4 linked regions of the Schizosaccharomyces pombe genome follow. Changing the gene in region 2 together with the main gene of any one other region gives a genetic interaction. Each region holds a gene or a part of one and is shown on either strand. Other genes may lie near its edges. The genes, in order: mcl1, swd3, mms19 and tma20.

Region 1 (8,190 bases), on a different chromosome or scaffold from region 2:
ATAGCTGCTGCGTCTGTAACCGGTTCTTCAACATCTTCTGTGGCTACCGCTTCTGTAACTGATTCTTCAACATCTTCTGTGGCTACTGCGTCTGCAACTGATTCTTCAACATCTTCTATAGCTGTTGCGTCTGTAACCGGTTCTTCAACATCTTCTGTGGCTACTGCGTCTGCAACTGATTCTTCAACATCTTCTGTGGCTACTGCTTCTATAACCGGTTCTTTATCATCTTCTATAGCTACCGCTTCTGTAACCGGTTCTCCAACGTCTTCTGTGACAGCTGTTTCTTCTACATCCTCTGTAGAAGGCACCGCGTCTTCTACAATTGCTGCCGCCGCATCCGCAGCAACATTATCTTCAGATGCAGCATCAGGTTCGTCCACAGTTACTTCTTCCGCTACCGCTTCATCAAGTTCTTCTGCAGCTACAACGGCAGACTCTAGTGTCACAACTGATACCCCAAGCAATGATTTCAATGCAAACGTTGATACAGCTGGACTTTGGTATGTCTCAGCCCTTTCGTCCTATTCAGTCCCTGCAGGATTTGCCTGGACAACTATTGACGGATTTTCGGTTGTTATGCCATCTGCGAACGCCTATAAAAAGCGCAGTCTCCCTATAAAAGCAACTGCCAATCCAGCACTTAATGGAGCTGGAACATGGAAGACAATCCATACTAGTGCAACAACCACTGCCGCTTGAAGGTAAAAAGTCTACATGCGCATTGTTAATAGCTGGTCTATATCATTGCACATATATTTGTTATCTTTGTATTTAATTTATCTCACCTTTCTTTCCGTTTGATGCTCATTCATATGATTTATTTCGTTAAATCAATTACAATATTTAGTCGTTTATTTTTAAGAACTAGCATACTTTATATTTAATGCATTATAGACAATTGAATAAAAATTTTGAAACAAGCAGGTAGAAATAATAAAGCCAACGATCTATTTAAGAAAAGTAAATTTTACATCGATGATTATTTACATAAGTAAAAATGTGTTTAGTTAGGTGAAGCAAAAGAAGTGCCGAAGAAACCATTTTTATAAATTATCCCTAAATACTAATACCATATCATCTAACCGAGAAGCTTGTAAAAGCAGTTTTTCCTCGTAACTATACAACTTTTTTAGCTCAGCTTGCTCAAACTTTTGTAGATATTGTTCCTCGTTGCCTTTAATATCTATTCGTTCTGCCTTCTCAATGAGTTGAGCTCTCTGAGCTCGTGCATCTCGTAATCGCATATATAGTCTGGCAATTACATGATAAAGTTCATCCAAAAGGAGAGAGTACGCCCGATCAGGACGGTGAAACCAAAGAAAAAAAGTCTTGGAAGGGGCCCTGTCGGAACTACGCGGAACCTCTTGTAACTCTAAGGCTCCGATTTCTGCCATAGCTTGAAGAACGGTTCGTAAATCTCTTTGACGAAGGAGAGCAATATTCGCCAACTGCTTTTCCTCAATTTTTCCCTTATCTTTTATGATACGCAGTAAACGAATAGCTCTTTCCCCAAATTTTTGTTCTATAAAATTTTCATATTCTATGGCTCGCAGCATGTCGGTTAAATGGGTAAAATTGACCGCCCATTCACCCATTCCTCGATTGCCTATTTTTGAAATAAATTTTAATGAGCAATCTGCCAAAAGCTCCAGGTGTTGAGCCAGCACCTTGCTCTTGCGATTTGCGTTTTCATCAACACTTTCTTCATAATTATCTTCCTCAGCAAGTTCATCTAGTTCATTCAACTTTTCCATGACACGCAATTCGTTAGAGGCAGAATTTACGCTATACTGTTTATCGACAATCGAACTCTCAACGTCGATATCATTCGGAAAGTTTCTCGTAAGCTCCATTGTCGTGAGTGTAAAGACCGGAGATTGATTGGAAATACTAAATAATCTGGGTTCCAACATAGAAAGAACGTGAGAATAGACAAGCGAAGTTGATTTACCAATTCTTCTTTCCACCCAATGGGTAAGCCTGGCATTTTTTGAGAGGACAGAAAGTTTTCCTGAATTTATGCGAACATGCGCGGATAGATCAGGTACAAGGATGCTATTATCATCGTCTAATATATTATTCAAATCCGTTGATACAGACGGAGCAGAGCCAACAGCACGTTTCCTTCTTTTTGTTGGATGTGGTATTGATTCCTTTGGCTTCCTGGTAAGTCCTTGTAGTTCTGACATATCTGCTGCACGAAGCTCTAACATTTCCAAGGCGACAGAATCATCAACCTCTCTATTTTTTTTTATTTCAGACACGTTTTCTGACTTTCTGCGATCTAAGTGCTTGATCCGGAGTTGCATTTCCTGATCTCCTACTGGTATTAAATGTCTCGGTTGCACTACTAGCAAAAACTTTTGGTAAATCAATTCCGTTAGATTTTTCTGCATCATACGGCTTTCTTCATCACTCCCATCAACCTTTTTATCGAAAGCATTGAATACTTCGAGTACACGTGCACGTCCTTGGGTACTAAGATATTTTACCACAGAGGCAGCCTCCTGGTTTAATTTTTGAGATATCAAATATACATCTTTACCTTTGCGAAGAATGTTATAAATTTCCTTCCATTGGGTCTCATAATATGTGACTTCACGTACATTTTCAATGACCGTAACGTACAAAACCATATGATGCTGCATTAAACTGACAAGTGCTTGTCGAATTTTTGGTCCTGGCAACGAAGTCCGTTTTTGTAGCATGGGAATCGTTAAACGACCATGCCTCAAAAGTGCACTAGCTACTGCCTAAATTGACAATAAATTGGTTAATACAAAAGACTTTGCAACCTCAACTTCAGATTTAGAAATACAATTGAATCCTTACCGAGCAACAATCACCGAAAAATTCCTCTACGAGAATCTCACACAGTTCTACAGCATACTGTGACATGATCAAGCAGATTACCAATCTTGCTTGGAATGGTAAATTGTTTGGCAGACGTAACTACAAAAAAGCAAAGATTTCACAACCTAGAGTATGCCAATAGCCTGTATTTTGTGCGTCGTTAAAGCAGCGTTAACATTTATAGTGTATCACTCTAATACAGAATAAAACTTTAACGATGTGCAAAAACGATTTTCATATTACTTTTTGAAAAAATACATACATATAATTACTGCGAGTATTAAATGAATGATCGAAATCTAATTGTATGATTAATTTATTTAACTTCTTTTTAATTTTCCTGTGAGAGGCTCCACTAGGTTTCTCAATTCCATTTCCATGTCGTTGATTTTTTGTGGTTTAATCAAGCATGACTTATCTGCAGATTCTGTTTTATAGCTTGTCATGGTAAGCATTAATTAAAATACTAAAAGACAATAGCTAATTGCATATTTTTCCTCCATTTAGAATATTGCTGTGCGGCTGTTTGAACATTTATAGCAGACATTTCAAAACTTTTTAACAGAACTGCTCTAATGGAACATCAAATACAACTTCAGAGTAATTAAAAAAAGCTCTGAAATGATTAAAGTTAAATTATTCCTATAGTCTCACATATAAGTTACTTTAGTATTAATTTCTAATTGTTAGCAGATGATTAAAAGCATGGATTGCATATTTTCAATCGTACTTGCATATGAAAATAAATTGTAGACAAACATTTGCAATTTCTCAATAGTGCTTTCGTGGTAGATTTTTTATTTAAATGTTTGTTTACATTAAATAGCGTAACTAGCTAACGAAAGTATCGCTATTGCCATACTAGTCCCAATCTCATATACAAACTCTTCCTCTAGCTATTATGGCAGGGAATAGGCTAGTTCCTAGATATGCCCATACAGATGGACTGACGCGTCTAGCGTATACTCGTGATGGGAAATTTCTTCTTACGGTCGGTTCTAATCAAGTAATCCGAAAATTTCAGGTTGGTTCTGATGAGGAACCCGACTCCATTGATAATCATCAAGATCCTATAACAGGAATTGCAGTTGCTGTAAGTGGTCCTCAAAAAAGTTTGGAGCTAATGACTTTTATATAGGAAAATTATTTTTGTACTTGTTCAGAAGATGCAACTGTCTGCGTATATCCCATCGATTCTCCTACCGAGCATACATTGCTGGCGCGTACTACTCTTCCTATTCGCGATGTGGCATATTCAGTAGATGGAAATTGGATTGCCATAGCTAGTGAGTAAGTTTTTTTTAGTGTATAATGCTCTACTTGGTCGTTTTCAGCCTAACAAATATAGTGAAACAGCAGTGAAAGTGGTTTCGTCCACTGATTCTTCACAAATTTTCTCTCTTCGTCCAGCTAAGGCTTCGAATAAACATGTAACTTATAGCCCGAACGGAAATTTTTTAGCAGTTTCCAGTTGCAATGGAATTTTGTATTTTTATGACACCCAAACTCGTGAACTCATCAAGTTCTTAACAAACACTATTGCCTCTTTAGAGGCAGAATCAGAAATTTGCTCAAAGGCGGCTTGGCATCCTAAAAACGGGACATTTGCAGTTGCGAGTACCGACCATTTTGTATCAGTTATTTCCCCTGATGACTGGCTTCCATTGTACAAACTTCTTCCAAAAGAGAATCATTCTGGTGTAACAGATATCTCCTGGTCCAGTAATGGAATGTACATAGCTGCTTCATTTAAAAAAGGAGGCATTTTAATTTGGGATACACAAAGTCATGAAGTAGTCGTTGAGCTCCCCTATAGTACAGTGGTGGCACTCGCCTGGCAGCCATTTGAAAACGTGTTATCATTTACTACAAATCAGGGAATTTTGTATTCATGTCCGGATGTCATTCCTAAATCAATATTGAAGGAAGAAAATGATCCTACGAAGCCTTTGACTTCGTCAAAAAGTAAAAACCGTACTTCCAAAGAGCTTGATGATCTTTTTGGTTCTGACGATGAGCAAAGTCAGAACGTCAATGATTTGGATGGGAACTCTGCCAACGAGGAAAATGAGTTTATCAATCATGATGGATTGGATTCATCTTTGGACCTAGATGGTGATAGTTATATGGTTGATGAAAACGACTTAAACCTTGCAAAGAAAAGAAAGCAGAAGGCGTTGATCGACAGAACTACAACAATAGAGAATGGTTCTAGTAAAAGACGTTTACTGCAAGCCTCAATACATAAACCCGTTCATACTGGAAGTACACCATGGCAGGGTAATAGAAGATATCTATGTTTGAACTTGGTAGGGTTTATCTGGACTGTACAGCAAGATGCAGAACACAACACTATAACGGTTGAATTTCATGATGAAACTACTCATAGAAAATATCACTTTGTTGATGACCAAAAATTTGAAATGGCATGCTTAGATCATGAAGGTGCTTTGTATGCTTCGCCTGCAACGGAAAGTTCACCTGGTGTTATTTATTATAAAGCACATGTTGATTGGTCGCGTAAATCTGAATGGGCAATGGCTTTACCCATGGAGAATGAAAGTCCTGTGACAATTTCATTAAGCTCAAGCGTTGTACTGGTATGTACGAGTGCTGGATATGTTCGCGTATTCTCAAGACAAGGCTTTCCAATTAGCATTCACAGGAGTAAACACTTGCCATTTGTAGCTTGTTCATCTTTTCAGGATACGATTATAACCATCGCCAACGATGGTTTGAGCTCTGATGGAAATTCTCGTCTTGTTTATTCCATTGAAGACATTTCTCGTGATGAAATGTTGCAAACTGGTGATGGGGTTGCATTACCACCCCAAGGAACGTTAGAGAGTGTTTTCTTTTCGGATGTTGGAGATCCTTACATCTACGATTCAACTGGGGTATTGTTGGTATTAATGCATTGGCGCATACCAGGACAAGCCAAGTGGATCCCTGTTTTAGATACAAATGAATTGGAGCGTCGCAAATCACGGCAAGAGTCTTATTGGCCTGTAACTGTTGCCGATAATCAGTTTCACTGTATATTGCTAAAAGGAGCCTCTCGATATCCCTATTTCCCTCGTCCGATGTTTACAGAATTTGACTTTCGTATTCCTTGTAATACGAACAATCCGGATGCTTCTACATCTGTTCCTGTTTTAGAAGAACTACAACTCCGTAATAAACTATTTTTGACTTTATTGGAAGATAGCATAGGAGATGGCGATGTTACGGAGGACGAAAAAATAAGCATTGCTAGACTAGAAGCTAACATTGACAAAGCCTTGTTGCAACTTATTCAAAAGGCTTGTCTCGAGGAAAGAATCGAACGTGTCTATGAATTGACAAAAACTTTGAGAAGGACAACAAGTATTGCTGCTGCTCAAAAGATTGCGCTCCACCATTCCCTTACAAATGTTGCTGAAAAAATTGGTAATCTACTATCTAACGTCTAAACCCTCACGTCTTAATTTTTATGTAACATTATTTTTTGCATATTAGTAGCTTGAGCTAATCAAAAGGGGTTTGAAGCAAAGCTATGCAGAAGTTTTGTCACGATCTTGCTCCTTTCTAAATTCATTTATATAAGCATCTAGCACTTTGATTTTTTTCTCATTTTTGTATTTAATAAACACATTTCATTTTGTTTACCATATAACCTCTATGTTTATATGTCAGTATATTCGGCATATATTTCGAGTCTATTTAGAAATTGCACAGGGGTACAAAAAATTGATTCATAAGAAAAGGTGGAAACATTTTTTAAAATGACAAAGAGTCACAAAGGAATTTGTATTCTTTTCCTTTCTGAAATGAAATAAAATCTAATGTAGAAACTGCAAAGCTCAGTGCCTTAGGGTGCGTTACAGTTCGTAAAGTTGCAGACACTAAGTGCAGTACAACTTTGTAAAGTGCCAAGCTGCAAACGAAAACACAATTTTAGCATGGAACAAAAAGTGAGTGCGGATGTGTTATTGAATAAATATCAAACATCCATAAGCATCACAAAAAACTTAATCAATTCGTGGTTGGGAAACGAAAATACATCTGTCAGTAGCGATGAAAAAAATGACGATCCACCGTTACAAGCTAGGCCGCCACGGTTAGGGTTGGGTGCTAGTAGAAAAGACCAGTCAGAAAACAGCTGGGTTACTTCCAAAAATGAGAAATTGAAAAGCCTGCCACCGGCATTAAAGAAGAAGATTGAAAGACAGTTGCAGAAGAAGAAGGAAGCTGAAAAAATTGAAGGCGGCAAAAACCACGACAATTTAAAGCGAAAATTGAATAAAGTAGGCGATGAATTGAACGAGCAACAGTCTGATACTGATGATGATGATGATGATTCAAAGGCTCGCATTACTAGCCGATCGAAAAGAGCTAACGCCCAAAGTTCTGGCTTTGATATTTATAAAAAACTTGGGAAGAAAAAAAGGTGAACTTGAAAGAAAAGACATACATAAAATATTTGCATAAAAGGTTTGACTTCTGATTCATTTTGATCAAGAGATTAGCCTCAAGGAAATGGACATCCTATGAACCCATAAATAAGCAGCACTGGAGTATTTATGGCATTGCTATTGGTTGACGTGCATGAAGTTGAATCGAAATTTATTTTTCTGTGAAAAAATTTACGATCCTTAATCACATTTAGTGTTTACATTGGATGGGTCTTAATTTGGGTGCCGTGTTTACCTCTTTTCAATCAGGAGGGTTTTTTTTTTGTTTAGTCGGTATGTTAAGTAAATAAATTTTAGATAGGGACAGTTGGTAATATGAAAAGGCACACCTATTTTTTATGAATCAAGCTCAAGCGATTCAATTTTGTAGTGAAAGACTGACTGCACTATTATAATTTAATAGTGGCATCTAACCAAGGAATGTGAATGCTTTCCTTACCCGCTAGCCACCGAATCCATGAAAGTCGAACCAACCTGTAGCCGGCTTCTTTTAATTCCGTAGGGAATGCTTTTGTGTCGAAAATATTTCGATTGAATGAAAAAAAGGTTGAATCACTCCACAGAGTGCGTGTATTAATCAACAATCCCAGTATAATCATGCAATATGGACTGAAGCCTGTTAGTCAAAATCTCGTATGGAATGGACGGCTTGTTTATCAAACTGGTTGTTGAACTTACCATGGATATTTCCGAGCAATCATGGACAGCATAAAGATCGGATAGAAGAAGTATGGAGCAGCATTAGCTACTAAAAGCATTGGAATAAAATATCGTAAACATAGCATTTTGTACCAAGTTTGGTAAAGCAACAAGTTTTTGAAGGATGTAATTTTACACTATTAACGCCATTTGGTCACGTAACAATCCATTAAGACGATAT
Region 2 (4,263 bases):
TATAATGGTTAGTAAATGCATAAACACATTTTTTAAAAAATGAAAAATAAGGAAGTTAAAGAGTAATCTCTTGTCAGTGATGGTTACAATACCTTCACTCATCCATATTTCTTAAAAACATACCCTCGATTGGCAGCTAAAATCATACGTAGCCAGCTGAAAAAGTCATTAGCTTTAGAAAATTAAAATTTAAACAAAAATAATAGTCTTACAGCAAAGGATCCGAAGAGTCTGAAGAGACAATTCCATATAATGGTACTTGAGACATAACCAAAAAAATCAACAAGGTGACTCCAGTCCATAACATTTTTTGCTTGAAAGGGACCTAGATTCGATATTAGCTTTCGATGTCTCTTATGAGATACATATGCTACATACCTTTCGTTCGGGTGCAGCAATCTCCGGTAAGAATGGCGCGAAAGGCTTTACAAGGTCCAGAAATCGTACTGTATAGTGTTAGAAATCAATAAGAAATAAAGCATGGTCTTACAATCACTCATATTGTATAATTTAATTAGATTTCTGCCCAACTAAACTTGCTGGTTCTTGTTGACAGTGAAGTATCATACTGAGGTTTTGGTGGTGAATTAAATTAAGGCAGCAGAACGATGGAGATAACTATTCACTTAAATGCGATAACAAGTAAATATTTCGTTTCATTATATAGTTAATAAATACGCTATAATACCAGTATAAACATTTGTTGAAGCTGTAATGAATGCCTGAATTGCCCATTTAACAAGCGTTAGAGAAGTTTTTTAAGCCGATTAAAATTCAAAATAATAACTGCTGAAATGATTTTACTTCACATAGGGATTAAAAGGAGATGCGATTTCCATTACGACCCAGGCAACAAGGTTGACTAATAAATCAAGATCATTAATTTAATATGGAATAAGAAGGGAACTAAAGGCTATGATGAAAGGCTTAATATGTGTACCGATCTAAGATGCCAACTGTTTCACCAAAAAATGAAAACACAATATTGTTTTACCAATTTGTAATTGGGAGATTGGATCAAATAAATTGATTACCAATTCATGACCTCAACAAGTAATTCTAGTTGTTCATAAGTGTTAGCCTCTTTCTTGCAATTACTATCCACGTGATTTAGATGTTTCTGTGGAACAACAGCTATCTGGATAAAAAAACTTTGGGACAAACGAGAGTGAAACATTTTTAACTTAAATTATTTGCATCACTCTGAAAGTTATGAGTTGACTCATTCGAAGTCAGTTGAGAGATGAATCACAGACACTACTTATTGAGAACTTTAAGCAATGGAAAACTTGATATCGAAGGAGCTATCAAAGTCAATATTAATTGAATGAGGACATTATGCAAAGAACGTATTTTGGTTCATTATAAGGAAACCTCTTTTTAGTATCTTTCAAACAAGCAGGAGCTTCATGAATGCAAGGCCGGAGAGAAATTGGACTAGCCTACTCACAGACTAGAAGATTACAAAACTTCAAAGGATATGTCTCAGTACGAAGATCGTACCCTTAGCGCAAGAGTATTGAACCCTCGTCAAATTAGTGAGCAATATCAGAAAAAAGTTTTTGTATTAATTCCTTGTAAACTTTACGTTTCAGTAAAAGGAGCCTAGTCGTTCTTCTTCATTCCCTAAGCTTTTTCATAACTTCAATGCGTGAATTATTGTACAATTTGTAGTAAACTTCCATTTATTAAGTCTTTGAACTAAATGGCTTAAAAATGACAATATTCCTGAATATCCTTTGCAGAGTAGTTTTCGACGTGAATTGCGAGGAAAATGAACCTGTAAACTTTATTGAAGACGAGTCAAATTATTGAGTTATTTAATATAAGTCCAAAGAAAAGCGTTTTTTAAATAGTCATTATTGTGGTATGTTGCTAGTTGAATGTTATACACTTCGTTGTCCACACCAGTTACTGCTTGTGCATACAATAAAGCTGGATGCTTAAAAAATTGACTGGCATCATTGTAATTTTATAATCTACATATGCAAAAAGCCCATGAACTTTTTTTCTTGTACATAGACTCTAGAAAGAGGAAATAAATTGATCGATTTTACTATCAGACAAAGGCGTTTGTTTATGATTGTTGAGATCATTCAATAAACCTTTTAATACTTCCTGATACGATTTTTGTCTTTAGTCCATTTTTACGAGAAGTACAAACAATCGGTCTGATAATTTTTCACATATCGTATATTAGAAGATGGATTCCACAGCTCAACAATTTCCTTTGAACCACGACCTGCAAGTACAAAAAGACCAGAAAGGTGTTGTAGAGGAAGATGAGGAGCAAATACATAAGCGCATTCGCAATTATGAATCACATTCAGGATTCTCTGAATATTGTACTCTTTTCGGTCATGAGAAAAGTGTTACATGTGTCAGCGTTTCCCCTAACAAACGATGGATCGCTACCTCTTCATCCGATGGAACTATAAAGATTTGGAGCGCACTTACGTTTCGACTTGAATGTACACTTTTCGGCCACTACCGAGGAATATCTCAAGTAAAATGGGCAACTGGTAGTAAGTATCTAGCTAGCGCTTCTGACGATAAGACCATAAGGATTTGGGATTTTGAAAAACGGTGCAGTGTGAGATGTTTAAAAGGTCATACAAATTACGTTTCATCAATTGACTTTAATCCATTGGGCACGCTTTTGGTGTCAGGATCATGGGATGAGACTGTCCGTATATGGAATCTTCAAGATGGAACTTGCCTTAGGATGCTACCTGCACATTCAGAACCTATTATATCTGTTTCTATATCAGCTGACGGAACTTTATGTGCGACTGCTAGTTATGATGGAATGGCACGAATTTGGGATGTTCTCAGTGGCCAGTGTTTAAAAACATTAGTTGAACCCATTAATGTTCCTTTGTCTAATCTCCAGTTTACAGAAAATCGAAAATATCTGCTTGTAAGTAATCTTAACTCACAGATCCGTCTTTGGGATTATCGCCGAAACCGTGTGGTACGAATATTTGATAGCCACGTGAATACAAGATATTCTATGTCTTGGGATTGCTATTCTTCTAAAAATATTCCTAAAAATACTGAAGCTTTACCCAATAATGACTCTTCCTACCCTGATGATGCAGAATCTTTCATGCACGATGCTTATCTTTTAATTCCTAGTGAAGATGGAACAATCCAAATTACAGATCCGAGTACAAAAATAATTATTGACGATTCAATTAGGCATTCCGATGATCCAGAAACATCACTTTTAAATGTAACCAGTTTAGGTCCTTTCATAATCACATCAGGAACTGATCCTTATGTACGAGTTTGGGCTCCTTCTCTTCTATTGTCGAAGCACGAGAAAGATGGCTTTTCACCTTAACCTGAATTGTTGACAAATAATGTATAAAGTTTAAAGAAACTACTTGGAATTACGATGAAGATAATGATGCTAAAGGTTTACGTGCGAAAACAAGCTCCTTACTTCCAATCCAAAGGCTAGTTGGCCTATGAAAACTTAAGTGGATCGATACATAGAAGATAAAATTAATTTATACAGTCTTCGATTATTCTTTACAGAAGATTTCTCGAAGAACGAATGTCGGCCAAGTTGATATCCTGAAATTGATGGTTTTTCTAATTTTTCTCGTTTATTAAACCAGTTATATTCATTTTGTTACTAATTTTCATCATCTAGTTTAATTCGACAGATTTTAAAGGGAGATAAATTTTTTACTTTTTTTTCCTAATATTTATTCCTTTACCACTACTGATATTCTAATAAGGTAAAACTTTTTTCGAATTAAATCATTTGGCCGAGTCAAACTTAAAATAATTGAGAAAAAAACGTATTACCTGATTTTCAATGAGTGAAAACCCAGCACATAAGGATTTGGACAGTTTGCAGGTTGACGAGAAAGCAAAAAGTTGGATTGCTGAAAAAGTTGAAGAGGAGCTCCGAAGGTTAGAGTCAGTAGGTGCTAAAGCGATCCCCTTAGATGTTAAGAATTACAGTGTTATGTTAGATGAAGACACGGATACTGTGGTAAACAGAATTGAGTTGATGACTAGCTTCGACTTTGATCATGTTCAACAAATTCTTCTATCCGCCGTACAGCCCTATCCTTATGATAAAAACTTAATGTTTGTTTATTTGGTGATATTAACGCCTCTTCCACACCCTATGTTAATTCCATATTTGTTTGCACCCAAGGTCGTAGGCAAGAATCTACTACCCCGTGCTGACGGATTGGTAGAGAATACCTTGAAAAGATGGACATTCATTAATGATAAGCTCAA
Region 3 (9,095 bases), on a different chromosome or scaffold from region 2:
TTCATCGAGGGATATCACTATTGGAACAAACAGGTTTTGCGAAAGGAAATATCAATATTGTACTCCTCTATTTTTTTACTAAACGCCAAGTACTGCTACATTCAAACAACATTTTCCATTTCATAATCCTTTTCAACAGTCATTGCGATTGCAATTCTGATATTATTATCGAGACAAGGAAATGAGCATGATATTTTGTACCAAATTAATTTGTTATGAAACCCTTCCGCCAATTTCTATTGAGAATCCATATATATTTTTTATTTGGCTATTATTTCAAATTTATGGCTCGTTGTATTTGAAAGAGCATGATAGTATTATAAAGTACTTAGTAATCGACTGTTTTGCTTTCGTTCCAGTAGCGGAGTTCATGTTTTTGCTCTCAGGCATTTATATTAAATATTAAAACATCTTTTAGGTTACTTAATTTTAAAAAATCATCATGCCATCGTATCAACGAAACCGCATATCTGATCATCAGTAACTACAGCCTTGCTTCCTCTACCATAATTAAGCTAATAGTAAAAATGCCAAAATATAACGTTTCAGATTTCAAATCTAAATTTGATAAAGAATTAACAAACCATTTTAACAAAAATGGTTATAAGCAATCCTTTGTATTTGAAGATATTCGTTTGCTGATCGCAATAGCTTGCATTATACCCGCCGGCCTCGCATTTGGCATTGAGTATGTTTATGGTTTTGGTGTTTTAAAATCTTACTTAAAGTATCTTTTACCTTTATATTTCCTAGCTTCCTGCTTGCTCACATTTTGGTCTTCTGTAGTCAAGGGTAGTACTGTTTATGTTGCTACGAAAAAAGAAAGACACATCAAAATTTCTGCGGATACCTTTTTACCTTTGAAAAATAAGCCTCTAATCACTACTAAATTTACCGTACTCAAAAACAGAAATGCTGTTCAACTTGAATGGTCGGTTCCTGTTGCTCACATTTTTGAAGAAGATGGCCAAATATCAAGTGCAACTTTTGAGGCGGAAATTTCAAAGTACTTGTCTCAAATTGAAAACTGATTGAGCTCAATTTTTTTAATCAATTCTCAATTTGAGTTGTTGCCAAAAAGCGAAATACTCAATTACTACATTTTCGTTAGAAGGCTTCCATGCCTGCCACAACGTCCGTATCGTATTCTTATTTTTTAACATGAATTTTATTGCTACGTTTTCCATTTACCAGCGGCAATTGCCTAATCATGCTATGGATTTTTTTTTCTTGAAATCTATCCTACCATAAACCACTCTCTAACAGGAGTGAAAAAATTGGAGATTAATCGGTTCAATGTTTTCGATTCTGGGAAACTCGTCTAAAAAGAAAAGAAATACTCAAATTTACAGAATTTTTTTTACTTTAACATTCTCTTTGTCGAATCTATTTCTTGCAATATGTTACCTTTTTTTGAATGTGAGGACTGTAAGCTCAGATTCATCTGTTTCACTTTACGATAGACAGTTGTTCGATCAGTCATCTTCTGTAATTTTAAATCCTGATACTTCAGACCCAAGCATTGTGTTGTCGTCTTTAGAAACAATGCGTGATTTGGCTCATGATATAAAATTTGGTCAGGATGTACTTGAACAGCCTCTGTGCGATCAACTTTTTGTTTTGATGGATGGGAAAGACTATCCAAATACGATTCGTTCAATGTCGTCTGTTGTTTTGGCATCAGCGCTTAGCAATAATTTCATAGCTCAGAAAAAGGCTTTAGAAATGAATATTATGCCAAAAATTGTGAACACTTTACGGCAGGAAAACCACCCAGTTACATTACTGAAGAAACTTTTCCTATTAAGTAAATCTGTCCAATCTTTTCCTTTATCTGAGGCTTTCATTAGTAAAGATTTAGGATCGGCTATTCTTCTTCAGTTGTATGATTTTTGGTCGAGAAACAGCCATATTGATATTCCTTCTGCTTTTCAGGAGAAACTGCTAAGTAGGTTGTCCATCATCTTTGAAAATATTGCTCGTTCGTTGGAAAATGTCAATTTTAGCAAAGCTTCTAAAGTTATCCCAATAGAGTGGGTATTTTCGACTTGGTGTAGCATCTTTCAAAAGTACTTGATGAATAATTGGCATTTACGCTCAATTTCAACGCTCGAGGTTCTACTTAACACCGTATCAACAATTCAAAGTGTTAGTGAGAGTTGTCCCGAAGTTAACTTTTATGAATGGTTAAACGATAAAAATTTGGCGTACAAAAATAAATTAATTTATCAAGATCCAGATCTTGCTACTGAATTTAATTTAATTATAAAAGAAGCTTTATCTCTTCCTTGGCCTAAAAAATACAATATTTAACGTTTTTATTTTTCAAAAATGACTTATCAAAATCTCTCTTTATATATACCACTTATGACGAGTTCGACTTGCTTCAGTCCTTACAACCCTATATTATTCATTAGCATTTTGTAGTTAACAGTTATTCTTTTCACTAAAAATGAATGGTTCTTACCTTTTAGGATCATCCAAGCATGGTATGAGTCCACGAATTACTTTATCTCTAAATAGTTGTAAATTCGTGGTAGGAGTAAACTCTGGCAGACTTCCAAGACACTTAAGGGCTAAAAGACGAACAACAGTTGGATTATTCATATCCTTAGGGATTGCCAAAAGCGAAGGAATTAAAGTATCAAGATATTCCGTCAATAATGAAGTCAATTCTTTAACCGAAGTATGTATAACGTTCAACGTCGAAAGTTTAACACTAATATCAGACAGTGAAAGACATTGAAGTAGAAGTGGAAGGATAGATGGCATATCTGGAATTACAATTTCTTTTGGCACATTTCCTATCACATTAGAAAGAAGCATTAAATACAAAGACTTTTCTCCTCCAGTAGCAGTTGAAATGTGTTCTAAAATCTTAGGACTAACACTAGCGTAAAAACGTTGTTTGTATAACAGCTTTTCGACATATGAATTCTCCTTGGACAACGCAGGATCGTCTTTGATAATTATTGAAAGTGCCTTGACCGAAGAATCTCCGACATTTTGTAAATTCAAAGTATCCAATAATTTAAAAGCCAAAGGAATGCCCTCGCTATGCTTTCTAGAGACCAAAGCTTTGTCAACCCACGCCAGCACATCGAGTGCAGCTTCAGATTCCTTTGGAGTTCCAGTATAAACTTTATCCCACAAAGACGTGACTCCCTTCGAAGATATAAAACTTGATATATCTTCGTCTTTTTCACATTTGTTAATAAGCGAGGATATGAGACGTAAAGCGCTAATTTTAACGCCAGGACTTTCCGTAACAAAAACAACATTTATGAGTAAATTCAACAACTCAATATTCAACTTTTCGATAAAATGTAATTTTTTACTCAATCCATTAAGACCACCCTGTAATAATACCACTAAATTTAAAAATTTCTGATCACTTAAAGATGCTGCAAGCGTAAATCTTTCTGCAGCTTTTTCACAACCTTCAGTTTCAATTAAGTCGGAATTGGAATTCTCCATATATAATTTCCATAATTGACCAACAAACTTTTCTTGAAATTCAAAATGGTTTACTCTCACTATCTCATTTATTGTCTGTGATACATAAATAAGGCATCTCACATTCATTGACTCGCAATTAGCGAAACAAAGGGTAAAAAGTTGCTTCAGTAGTTCTTCAAAAAAGAATGGAATCTCTTGTTCATTTCGATCATTTCTTTCCTTAAAGGCAACGGATAAACTTTGAACAATTGATTCGACAAGATCAACACTCATTTCCTTGGATTTAAATTGATCTTTCAACATCTCAACAAGTCTGATGACAAGGGCCTTAAACAAACTCCTTTCTTCAGATATTGAGACTAGTACCGATAAATATTGCTTAAAAGTTTCTTCAGAAGATGACTTAGCAGTAACATCATCAGTTAATTTTGAAAATGCGAAAGGAAATGAAGTCAAAAGTAAAAAGTCGGGCTTTAGTAACCCTAAATCCTTCAAACATTCTGTTGCCTTTTTCTTAATAGGATCGGAAAAGTCAAATGCTATGTCATCCAAAAATTGAAGTACCATGGTTAATTCACTCTCTGTTAGGAAGTTCTTGATCGAAGCCATTAAAAAAATAACCTTTAAAGCCAACATGCGTATTTCAGTTTCATCTTTGGCTGTTCCCATCAAGGAGCCTGATACAAAACTAAGTTGCTTGTCTTTGTAAACAAGTAGCGGGTTGTCAATATCAGCCTGGTTTTTGCTTCTCCACTTTCCGTATAAAAGTACCAAACATTTATAGACGTATTCCAAAAAAACTAGCATCCCTTTTTGTTTCTCCAATGGTTCATTTACCATTGGTAGATCGAGAACACTGGGTAAAAAATTGCATGAACAATAATTGAATGTTTCCACAGAGATAGAAGCCAAGGAAGCAAATACAGCTGCACAAGATCCGCAAGATTTAACATTAACATCTTCGAGTAAACGCTGTGATAATTGGATCAAAATCATATCCACAAACTCTGTGAACGAAGATGAAAACCCTTCCTCTTTATAAAATTTACTAGCTAAAGTATTGAGTGCACCAAGCGCCAAATTTTGAAGTTCAGCATCTGTCGAATTTAGTATTTCTTGCTTAATAGATTCCCAAAAGTCTTTAGCAGACCATAAATAAGCACCCACGCGCCAAGTTTTGCAAGCTTCTATATAAATGTTTAATGCATCGATTTTTATGCGAACAGTTGAAGCCTTCAGCCTTTCAAATAAAGCAGGAAGAAGTAATTTTGAAAACGCGTCGTTAGCAACCAAGGTTTCTCTACAAAGGACGGTTAGCAATAGTTCACATGTCATGATGCCTTACCGGAGAGCTATTTTAAGATCGTCGCTAGTAATAGCCAAATTGGTGGCATCAGGCGGAGCACGGAAAGTGATCGGGAAATAACAATAAGTGATATCAAAGAATTGCTACATGTAAGTAATTTCATTAGGCGATTAACAATGAGATCCATACCTGTTCAAATCCGTCAATGGGGAATGTAGAAAGTATTTTTTTAAGCATAGAAAAGACCAGCATAAGATTACGAGGGTCTTTCTCACCAGCAAAAGTTGAACAAATTCCAGAGAAGAAAGCATCGCGAGTTTGTGAAGAGATGACTGAGAACTAAGTTAATTGATGACTCTCCAAAAAGATCCTTACAGAAAAGATAATTATCTATAATGGTTTCAAATACTTTTAAAATGTTTAAACGAGTTGCTTGAGCATATTTTGGCATGTCAGTGGAACTGAAGAGAGCCTTACAAACATCCACAATCTTTTGAGCAGGGAAGTTTTGCATGTTTAGAAGAGCTCCAATACCTAACGCATTCTCCTTCATTGTAACTTCATCATCCAAACGACTCAAGTAAAACTGAAGAAGTACAGATACATGTTTCGCAGGAAGTCTATCTTTAGGAAGCTCACCTAAAGTTTGTGACAGTAATAAAACTGCTTTTGCTCTAACAGAGATATTGTTGTCAGTTAAATACTCTCCAATTGAAGTAACCAAATCGACAATCCCCATTCTGTCAGTGACAATTTCTTCGACAATTCGATCTACAACGTCGTTTGCCTCATCCTGACTTCTATCAATAGAAAATAAATATAAAGCCACTAAATTCGAGCTCATCTTCCTCAAATTTAATATGTACTATTATGCTAACAATTTTCTATACAATAAACACTATAAGAAAAAACAGAATTTCAAAAATTGAGAAGCAGAGATTAGAAACCTTGTCCTCTTTTTCGAAGCTGACTTTCTTCTAGCTAGTAGGTAGACGGCACTCTTCCTCAGTAGATCGTTGAAACGTCTCTCAGAAAATGTGGTTAACAATGGCAAATTGCAAAATGTCATTTGCTATGTATGCTTTCTTTACCGAAGCGAAGTTAAACTAATTAAAGTATTTAGATAATCTGATAAGAATTTGTGTAAATTAAATTGCTTAAATCCATGAATTAAAGAAATTAGAAGAAAGATCGGATATTATTTTCTTTTTTTAAAAATTTGTTTCTTTTTAGCAAATCTCTACTTCAAGATTTTACAATCATACACAAAAACCTTTATTCCATCGTTATATATAGTCACTACATATTAACGATCCTTAAACCACTGCGCTATGTATTCCCTCTCTTACCAAAATTTGAACCGACAGCAAAGTAAAAAGAGGATGCAAAGTTTTAACATTTACTTGAGAAATTGATCAATAAGCATATAAGTATTTAATATAATTATCATCTTAAATTCTCTGTTAGTCCTGGTATGGAAGTTTCGGAGACAGACGAACATCTTACTCGTTTAAACCAGGCTCGAGATATTGTTAAAACTGATCAAAGCCTTTTTCCAGAAATCGTGAGAAACATTCTTTCTGTGGCAAACTATTCTGATATAAGGTATAAAAAATGGATGGCAAATTTCCTCTGGTTTGGATTTTCGAGCAAAAATGTTAAATTTGAGCAGAAATTGGATTTAGCTGTAACTTGTCTAGATACAATTGTTTCTCTGTACGCAGTAGATAATGAAGAAGTTAAAAAAGACGTTATATCTTGTTCTTGCACAATCTACCCACTAGTATTTCTGCACTGTTGTACTTCACCTAACGATTCATCTACCTGGGACACTTTAACGAAGCTAAAAAACGAAATCATTAATGACTTTGACAAAGGGAACAAGCCTCTTTTAATTTCTTGTATTAAATTTATTTCTTGTGTAATTTTAACGCAAGTGCCTGGGATTCGAGATCCCCGTCTTGTAACTAAATCGGACGTGTCTCTTTCTAAGGTTCCCACACATCATCCTTTTATCAATTCAAATATCCTCAGAATAGAAGCAAATGACTTAATTGAAAAAATATTTTCCATCCTTTTCTCGGATTCTTTGAATGTCCTTTACATTACTAGCGTTTTGAATATCTTACCGGTTTTGGTGAAGCGACGGAAGGAACTAGCACCAAAAATCATAGGAAGCTTGTTAGAATTTCATCTTCCGAATCCAAAAGATGAAATTGAGCTGTCGAACGAAAGCAAGTTAGCTATACGGTGTATTGAAAAAAATCTAAAACTTATTTTACTTCATTTAGCTAAGAGTACAGGTGCATCTTCTTCTTCCGTCGAAAAAATTCACGCTTATCTTTCCGGACAAATTTATCATACCAAAGTCGATGAAAGTTTGAAGAAACGGCAATATGAGGGAAATATTAGTGCTGCCTCTAAGCGTGTTAAGTCTTCTGCTGTACAAAGTCTTGTAGAAAGAATGCAACCCCAACTTAGCTCTCACGATGGTTTGCAAAATAATCCCTTAATCAGCATATTTGCTTCACAAACTGCTATAAATCCTCTTGCAAATTTTGATGTAACTTCAATTCCGGTTGAAGTGGCTACTGAAATTGTACTTACTTCTCTTCTTAAGATAGACAAAAACTACTTTCATCAGCAAATTAATATGTTGAGAGAGAGAGTGCGCTCTCTCTCTGAGCCTGAATCCCTTGGTCTTGATCAACAAGTTGATGAAGACGAGGACGAGGATTATGAACCGCCTGAGGTAGATGTTCAGACTATCAATGCTAGTGTAGAACGTGAAGCAGCTCGACTAGAGGGAAGTGCTCCCTCCAATGTCGTTACTGATGCGTTTGAATTACCCACTCCAGATTCGCTGTCCCCGATGGCTATTCTAGAATACTTTCACGGTGCCTTATCCAGATTATTTGATTATGCTCCTCAATTTGAAAGAAGCATAGTTTCTTCTTCTAACCTTCAAAATTTAACGTTGGAAAATGTGGATAATACGGTATGGGATAAGCGTCACTGGGCAATTCTCTTACCACGACTTTGTACGCGAGGCTTATTGAATTATCAGCCTGTAACGTCTGGTGAGGAATCTGGAGATGCTTCTTTCACTTTGTCTTCATTTGTTCGAGGGCAGCTTTTTACTTACGTTGCATCTAACTGGCGTTCCAGTACAAATTTAATATTGAACTGGTTATCCGAGGAATGGTATAATGATCGACTAATGCTTGAAAATCCGGATTGTCATGAATATGAGGATGTTAAGTGGGAAGGTCCACAATATGAAAAATGGGCCCTTAAAGTAATAGACAGCATTTTACCATACTTAGAGGCAAAAGATAAAGTTTTTATGATATTTATGTCTGAATTGCCAGAACTCACCGATGCTATAGTTGACAAAATTAAATTTGTATGTCTTGATCCCGATAAGACGAAGCTCGGTTTCATGACTTTTCAGTATTTAATAATGTTTCGACTAACCTGTACGTGAAAAATGCCTTGATATTCTTGAGACGATGTGGAAAGAGAATGTAGATGTTAAAGCTTCCGCCGCAAAGCTTTTGAATCGTTGGCGACCGTCGTTTTTGGAGTCTGTGAAATCAGAGGAAACGAAAGAGCCTTCCGCTACAGATAACACTTCCTAGAAAGCTTGTTTTTCCTGGGTCGCAGTGGGATTTCATTGGAAAGCCAAGGAGAAATAAAAGCTAAATGTTTAATGCACCATCTTTTGATAAAATAAAGTTCTGTTCATACCTAGACAGAAAAAATGTATCTGTGGCTAATCACCACTCTGTTTATTGGAGTTTTTTGGTATATATGCAAAATCTGTTCATATACTTCATTTAATCCTGCATTGGAAATGAGAGTAATCTTTCAATATTTCTTAACATACTTTACATTCATATTTATCTAGCCAGCATTTAGCCCTCTGCTATTTATGTAATGCTGTTACTTATAGCAAACGTTTATAAAAACTAAGTCTGTATAAAGCATAAATGAGCCCTTAATTTTTGGCGCACTAAAATTTAACTATTTATTATACAAATCTCAATTTTCATCGATGATAGAATGGCATATTTTATTATTAAAATAAACCATGGTCTTCTAAGAGTGGGATGTAAACTAAAGAGAAAGACTTGTTAAAAGTAAATTTTTGTGTCTATACACATAATGTAGAATAATAATCATTTGTTCCATAATTCCATAATTATACTATTTTCTTCAAATCTTGGCATTCATCTAAATGATTGATACACCCTCTTAAACCGTTTATCGAGTCCAACTGAGACTTACCGTGCAATAAATGAATGCTTTAGGACAATGAATGAAAAAT
Region 4 (6,548 bases), 3.2 Mb from region 2:
GTCAGCCGCTCAAAATATATGAACACCGAACTAATAATGTTTTAATGGATTCTGGAAGAGGAAAACTATTACAAAAAATGGTAGCTGATGCAATCACTGAAGAAGGTTATGATGATTTTGAGACCATAGTTACTATTAATCATTTAGAAAACAAAATCGCTTCTGCTCGATTACTTAAGTTGGATGATGAGTTTTTAGTAACAAGCGAAGTTTATGTCAGACTATTAATGCATCATGGTCTTTGGCAAAAATTGGAGGAATTTTTAGGAGAGCTACGAACTCAAACAAAATGTTCAATTAAATTATCAGGAAGAGAAGTTGTTGCAAAAATGTTAGTGGTTTTACGACAAGCAGTACAAACTGATAATGAATTTGATCGTGCAAACAAATTAATAGAAAAATACGCATCAACCTGAAAAAAATTGAGGCTATTTTAAATTTGACTTTTCTTTCTTGCATTCTGTTTAAGTCTAATACAATACTCATTGGAAAAATCTGAATAGTTTTGAAAGCAAAATAATGCATTAATTTTATTCTTTTAATGTCTTATACTATAGATGTTATTCTAAAATAGTCTTCCACTGTGAATATTAGTTAACATTACATTCCAATAAGCAAGAGGAAATTATAAATGGTTTAAAATGTAAATCACATACCAAGTTGTCGCCAAGATAATGCACATTTTCTATGCCGATTCCTTTATTAGTCTCTTTCCTAAACAATTCAAGCATGTTAGTTAATAGTTCAAGTTATGAGTGTCAATAGTATATTACATTTCTTTAGCAGACATTTTTGTAAGCCCAATTGCAGCAGGGGCTTCCTTTCCCTCAGCTGTAACAATCACATATTGATCTTTTTCGATGTCATCAGGCAAATTGCCGCCTTTGGAAACCAAGCCAGGAATCATAATATTGGCACCCGAGAGAAGGAATTTGATAGCTCCTCTGTCTACTCGAACTTGAGTAAAGGCATCCGGACCTAGGCGTATTAGTATATATTTGAACTAAACACAGATATGTTGTTGTCGATTCTGACCAGCTAGACAAAAACCAGAACTCCAATCAAACGTTGCGGTTACGTTAGCTTATACTCACATTTATGAACAAGACGAAGAGAAGGAATGATAGGGCCGTCGAAGTGCTGGAAAAGGATAATTTCGCCATTCAAAGTATACAAAAATAAACGATCCTCACTTAAACAATATCAGTACGACATACTAAAAATCACGGATGCTGATAAGAACGAACCATTTTATTTGAGTTAGTTGTGATTTTTTGGGAATTAACTCATCGATAACTTGTTTTAAGTTAGGATAAGCTTGTACTAGTTTTGCTTTTATTCCTCTTTGAATAGAAGACTTGATTGGAGTAGTTCCCTTTATATCTTCTCTAGAGTTAAATCTGTTGAGGTTAGCAATCATCCTACAAAATTATAAATCCAATTTAGAGCAATACCGTTTGAACATATTATTGAGTATATAGGAGCTGCAGACCATTGCTACAATAAGTTACTAGGTTGTAGCCGCGGTCTCCTCTCGGATGATCCGCGGTGTTGCCGATTACCACCTCGAGGGTTACAAACGTTAGATATATTCATTCATATTTGTGCACGTTTTTGTCTTCTAACAGTAAAAGCCAACTGGTTAAGAGAAGACATAAATCTAGCATATTATTTATTGAGTAATTGTACACTATAGAGATCCAGAATAATATAAGATGACTTCGGAAGCGCCCAGGGTAAAAAATAAGAACCCAGCACCCATCCAAATCTCAGCTGAACAATTGCTCCGAGAAGCTGTAGAACGACAAGATGTGGCGTTTGTTCCTCCAAAAATTAATATCACTGATCTTGAGGAGCTTCAAGAATTTCAAGGTCGAAAACGTAAAGAATTTGAAGATGCCATTCGACGGAATCGTCTCGCTATGGGCCATTGGATGCGATATGGTCAGTGGGAATTAGACCAAAAAGAATTTGCGAGAGCTCGCTCTGTTTTTGAAAGAGCTTTGGATGTAGATTCTACTTATATACCGTTATGGCTGAAATATATTGAATGCGAAATGAAGAATCGAAATATCAACCATGCCAGAAATTTATTTGATCGTGCTGTTACACAGCTTCCCCGTGTTGATAAACTATGGTACAAATACGTATATATGGAGGAAATGTTAGGAAATATCACCGGTTGTAGACAAGTATTTGAAAGATGGCTTAAGTGGGAGCCTGATGAAAACTGTTGGATGAGTTATATTCGAATGGAGAGGAGGTACCATGAAAACGAACGGGCTCGTGGCATATATGAACGATTTGTCGTTGTGCATCCTGAAGTAACGAATTGGCTTCGTTGGGCTCGTTTTGAAGAAGAATGCGGAAATGCTGCAAACGTTCGCCAAGTCTATTTGGCTGCTATAGATGCTCTTGGTCAGGAGTTTCTGAATGAACGGTTTTTTATTGCTTTTGCAAAATTCGAAATTCGTCAAAAGGAATATGAACGAGCTCGCACCATTTTCAAATATGCAATTGATTTTATGCCCCGATCAAAATCTATGGAACTATATAAGGAATACACTCATTTTGAAAAACAATTTGGAGATCATTTGGGCGTTGAGTCTACTGTGCTCGATAAGCGTCGATTACAATACGAAAAGCTATTGAAGGATTCTCCTTATGACTATGACACTTGGCTTGATTTGCTGAAGCTCGAAGAAAGTGCAGGGGATATTAATACTATTCGCGAAACCTACGAAAAAGCTATTGCTAAGGTTCCTGAAGTAGTTGAAAAGAACGCATGGAGACGTTACGTTTATATTTGGTTAAACTATTGCTTATTTGAAGAGATAGATGTGAAGGACGTTGACCGCGCAAGAAAGGTTTACCAAGAAGCTCTCAAGCTTATACCCCATAAAAAATTTACATTTGCCAAATTATGGCTCATGTATGCAATGTTTGAGCTTAGGCAACGTAAGATTGATGTTGCTAGAAAAACGTTGGGTCGTGCGTTGGGAATGTGTCCAAAACCAAAATTATTCCGAGGTTATATTGAATTCGAAGACGCAATTAAGCAGTTTGACAGGTGTCGAATTCTTTATGAAAAATGGATTCTTTATGATCCCGAGGCTTGTGCTCCCTGGCTTGGTTACGCTGCCTTAGAGACTAAGCTTGGAGATAGTGATCGTGCTCGCGCTTTATATAATTTGGCTGTAAACCAGCCTATTTTGGAAACCCCAGAGCTTGTGTGGAAGGCTTATATTGATTTTGAATTCGAGGAAATGGAATACGGAAAAGCTAGAAGTATTTACCAGCAGTTACTACGGACTGCACCTCATGTTAAAGTTTGGATTAGTTTTGCAAACTTTGAAATTGCCCATCTGGAGGACGATGACGAAGAACCACCGAATGAAGAAGTGGCTTCTCCAACCGCTGTTGTGCGTGCGCGAAATGTTTTTGAAAATGCATTGGCCCATTTACGCCAGCAGGGTTTGAAGGAAGAGCGAGTTGTATTACTTGAAGCATGGAAACAATTTGAGGCAATGCATGGCACGGAAGATACACGTAAGCATGTCTCTTCACTAATGCCACAGGTTGTTAAGAAACGCCGTAGACTTGAAGACGGTTCATTCGAAGAATATTTGGACTATCTGTTTCCGGATACGGCGACTGATCAAGGAGATAAGATGCGCAAAATGCTCGAACTTTCGCGAAAATGGAAAGAGGAAATGGCTAAAAAGAAGCTGGAGGCCTAGATTACATATGACATTTATTGGCGCTATCAGTTTAATATTTAGTAATCGTGTAAAATATTAGTAATTAATTGTTTACGAGGCAATGGGTCATGTAAATGGACGTTGTTACGAAGTTGAGGATATTCAGCGCTTTGGACTGTTCGGATAATAATAAAATAACTGTTTTTGCATTTGAAAGGCCGGAATGGCGCGTAGAAATAAGACAAGCAATCCATATTAGTATTATTAACCTTGAGTTTCGATCTGAGTTTACTTACTAAGCAAGATAAGCGAAAAATTTATGGATATTATGTTGAGGGAATCACACTTGTAGAAATGAGAAAGTTGTAAACATGACAATTTTGAAGAATCCAACGCAATTCGTAAATAACACATTAAAATACAATAAAATGAAAAATCCAATCCAAAATATATTTAATATGTACATATTTATATTTATAAATTGATTGTTCTTTACCTTGCCCCATTGACATACGATCGAGTATCTACCAGTGCGACTAATTTTAGTTTTGTTACTCAAAGTGGCAGGACTCACAGGTAAAGAAGCGGCTGGTTTGGAGTTGTGCTGATCTGATGAACTTGTCAATCAAATGAGATTACAAAATCTGACATTGGTTATTTTCAGCACTGACAGCTTATTCGGACCGGTTTACCCAAATGTTCTGCTAAAGTGAATTTACAGAATACAAAAATCGGCTTATGCGACCAACGTATTAGGCAACATTTTGACTTAAAAGAAAAAATTCATACACAGATTCTGCTAAAAACTTAAAGACACAAAGATGTTCGTATGAATAAAAAATGACTGACTATAGTGAAAGAAATACCAACTGTTGCTAGTTAAAGTTGCAGCAAGTTTTTTGAGTTATTGTTGCCGAGATGTCGATCTCTTCAAAGGTAACATCCAGCATCAAAGATCGCCGAGAGTTCCCAACCATTATAGCCAGTAACAACCCAGCATACTTTGCGTTATGGTGCCTTAAAGGTACGTTCACTGACGATCGTTTTCAAACTCGGTTGACACTCGGGTGAAATGAAGTTGCCTTCTGTCAACTGCCACTTCCAAGAATCTGAATAAGAGAACGAGGATCCGGGAAATTTTCGTAAAAAGAATTCATTCAATTAAAATTAAGGGACTTGCAAAAACTATTTACTGTGGTTTTTAAGCTAAATCCTTGCGATTATAAGAAAACACTTATTCTTTGTTTATCAACAAGGCTGATTTAGCTTCACCACCGTTTTCCTTTTCCAAATCCTAACATTTTTCTTCGAACTTTACTTTTTTAATTGATGCAAATCATCTTGTGCTATTCTCTCTTCTCTTACTCTTGTCAGCTGTGATTTGATTTTCCACTAATCTTGTCTAAAAAGGTACTGAGCATATCCTTTATTTTTATTTTCAAGGTTATTGTGGTTTTCATCAAACTATTCTTATTCATTCTCTCTTTGTATCTTCGTTAATCTCGGGTTTTTTTTGTTTGCCACTTCTCTCTTTCTTTAGCCTCGTGATTTTAGCAGACCCCGGGTTACAACTTTTTCGTTGTTATACTTCCTATTGTTGAACTTACTTGATCTGTGTCGCTTCTCGGCTAAAAAAGTGCCCTTGCTCCTTACTTCCTTTTTCTTTTAGTATTTTTTTTGCTCCTTTATCAGTTCTTGACTTCAAGCTTGAGCTAACCGTAGTCCCTTTTACGTTTACTCGTTTTGAAGAATAATTGGTGTAGATTGCTTAAAAGGATTTCAAATTCGGCGGGACTTAAAATCTGCGAAAACAGTAATTTTTATTTTTTTTCGTTTTCGTGATTTTGGGGCACTACTTATTCTTCCTGCTATCGGCGTTTGTTCTTGGTTTTTCTCTTCGGTTATTGCGTTTACACACAGCAGTTTTGAAAATTATTGAGTAAAATTTTGGTATTCGAAAACTGCTTGTCTTTAACTAAAAAAAATATTATCACATCGTTCGTTTTACGCCAATCTTTGCGTTTGCCAGTAATTTATACTGCAGCAATTGTCTTTAAAAAACTTTATACGTGTTAAATATATTATTAAAGAAAGATGAGGGAATCGAACGTTAGCATCGTATGGAATAACAAAGCTTCTGTCACTATCAATACAGTCCTTTATGATCGACGTGCGCTTGACTGTGACTCCGAAATGTCATTAATGAATTCATTAAGCCATCTCGTTTATTTGACTTCGACTTCACCGAAAATTCGTGAGATCCTTACTATGGATGGTGGTTTGATGCGTTTAATGAATATTTTACGTGCCGGACGTGGACAAACATTTGCCCGAATGACAATATGGCAGCTAGCTCTTCAGTGTGTCGTAAATGTTGGGATACGTGGGTCTGAAGCTATTCGAATTCGTGTTGTGGAAGCTGGTATCGTTCCTATTGTTGTCACCCTTTTAGATGATTTTTTGTTTGCGCTTGAGTCCGTTGTTTCTCACCATTCTCGATTTCAATTTTCCCTTACACCTTCTACTACCCCTCCTCCATCATCCGCATCTGCTCCATTCCCCATTAATTCTAATATTAGCAATTCTCTTGATTCTGTGTCTCAACACAATTCATCTGCTGACTCTTTGTTCGTCAACGGTGATGTACCATCTCCATTTGGAGCTAGTACGGCAAGCTCTAGCTCTAGAAGAGTTTATTCGGTGGATTTACGGGATAGTGGAGATGTCCAACTTCCAAATCAATCTACGTTTCGACATTCCGTGAATCGTGATTTATTGGGATCAAGCTCTACCACTAGTCATGATCGATCCTCCGGCTCCATTTATTCAAATGATTCATTTCAAGAT

Evidence for each region.
Region 1: mutations in swd3 (region 2) and mcl1 together harm fitness more than expected from each alone (negative genetic interaction), as found in Schizosaccharomyces pombe (2 studies listed by BioGRID).
Region 3: mutations in swd3 (region 2) and mms19 together harm fitness more than expected from each alone (negative genetic interaction), as found in Schizosaccharomyces pombe (2 studies listed by BioGRID).
Region 4: mutations in swd3 (region 2) and tma20 together harm fitness more than expected from each alone (negative genetic interaction), as found in Schizosaccharomyces pombe (2 studies listed by BioGRID).

The regions. Positions count from the first base shown.
Region 1 is NC_003424.3:3,281,313-3,289,502, reverse strand, and holds mcl1 (DNA polymerase alpha accessory factor Mcl1), read left to right. Parts: upstream 1-3,750; 5' UTR 3,751-3,757; coding exon 3,758-3,949; exon of another isoform or gene 3,950-3,994; coding exon 3,995-4,146; exon of another isoform or gene 4,147-4,204; coding exon 4,205-6,308; 3' UTR 6,309-6,499; downstream 6,500-8,190. Other genes in the region: cts2 (chitinase), read left to right, coding at 1-702; DNA-directed RNA polymerase III complex subunit Rpc82, read right to left, coding at 1,047-2,756, 2,836-2,901; SPOM_SPAPB1E7.01C (uncharacterized protein), read left to right, coding at 6,798-7,289; SPOM_SPAC652.01 (BC10 family protein ), read right to left, coding at 7,700-7,919, 7,989-8,095. UniProt on the Schizosaccharomyces pombe protein: Has a role in regulating DNA replication complexes. Acts as a regulator of post DNA replication initiation. Associates with chromatin during G1 and S phases of mitosis. Required for the transcriptional repression of the outer repeats of the centromeric region.
Region 2 is NC_003423.3:546,467-550,729, forward strand, and holds swd3 (Set1C complex WD repeat protein Swd3), read left to right. Parts: upstream 1-1,897; 5' UTR 1,898-2,203; coding exon 2,204-3,346; 3' UTR 3,347-3,763; downstream 3,764-4,263. Other genes in the region: translocon alpha subunit Sec61, read right to left, coding at 124-156, 213-325, 379-446, 491-500; SPOM_SPBC354.04 (uncharacterized protein), read left to right, coding at 3,830-4,263. UniProt on the Schizosaccharomyces pombe protein: The Set1 complex specifically methylates 'Lys-4' of histone H3.
Region 3 is NC_003424.3:3,854,937-3,864,031, reverse strand, and holds mms19 (TFIIH regulator Mms19 ), read right to left. Parts: upstream 5,815-9,095; 5' UTR 5,610-5,814; coding exon 5,141-5,609; exon of another isoform or gene 5,098-5,140; coding exon 4,955-5,097; exon of another isoform or gene 4,909-4,954; coding exon 4,805-4,908; exon of another isoform or gene 4,760-4,804; coding exon 2,468-4,759; exon of another isoform or gene 2,402-2,467; coding exon 2,353-2,401; 3' UTR 2,314-2,352; downstream 1-2,313. Other genes in the region: signal peptidase subunit Spc2, read left to right, coding at 528-1,031; protein Sil1, read left to right, coding at 1,297-2,313. UniProt on the Schizosaccharomyces pombe protein: Key component of the cytosolic iron-sulfur protein assembly (CIA) machinery that mediates the incorporation of iron-sulfur cluster into apoproteins specifically involved in DNA metabolism and genomic integrity.
Region 4 is NC_003423.3:3,768,225-3,774,772, reverse strand, and holds tma20 (RNA-binding protein Tma20), read right to left. Parts: upstream 1,477-6,548; 5' UTR 1,466-1,476; coding exon 1,455-1,465; exon of another isoform or gene 1,401-1,454; coding exon 1,248-1,400; exon of another isoform or gene 1,193-1,247; coding exon 1,095-1,192; exon of another isoform or gene 979-1,094; coding exon 774-978; intron 715-773; coding exon 657-714; intron 636-656; exon of another isoform or gene 582-635; coding exon 561-581; 3' UTR 501-560; downstream 1-500. Other genes in the region: histone chaperone Hip1, read left to right, coding at 1-416; protein Cwf4, read left to right, coding at 1,716-3,740; armadillo-type fold protein, zf-MYND type zinc finger protein, Mub1-Rad6-Ubr2 ubiquitin ligase complex Mub1, read left to right, coding at 5,796-6,548. UniProt on the Schizosaccharomyces pombe protein: Involved in translation.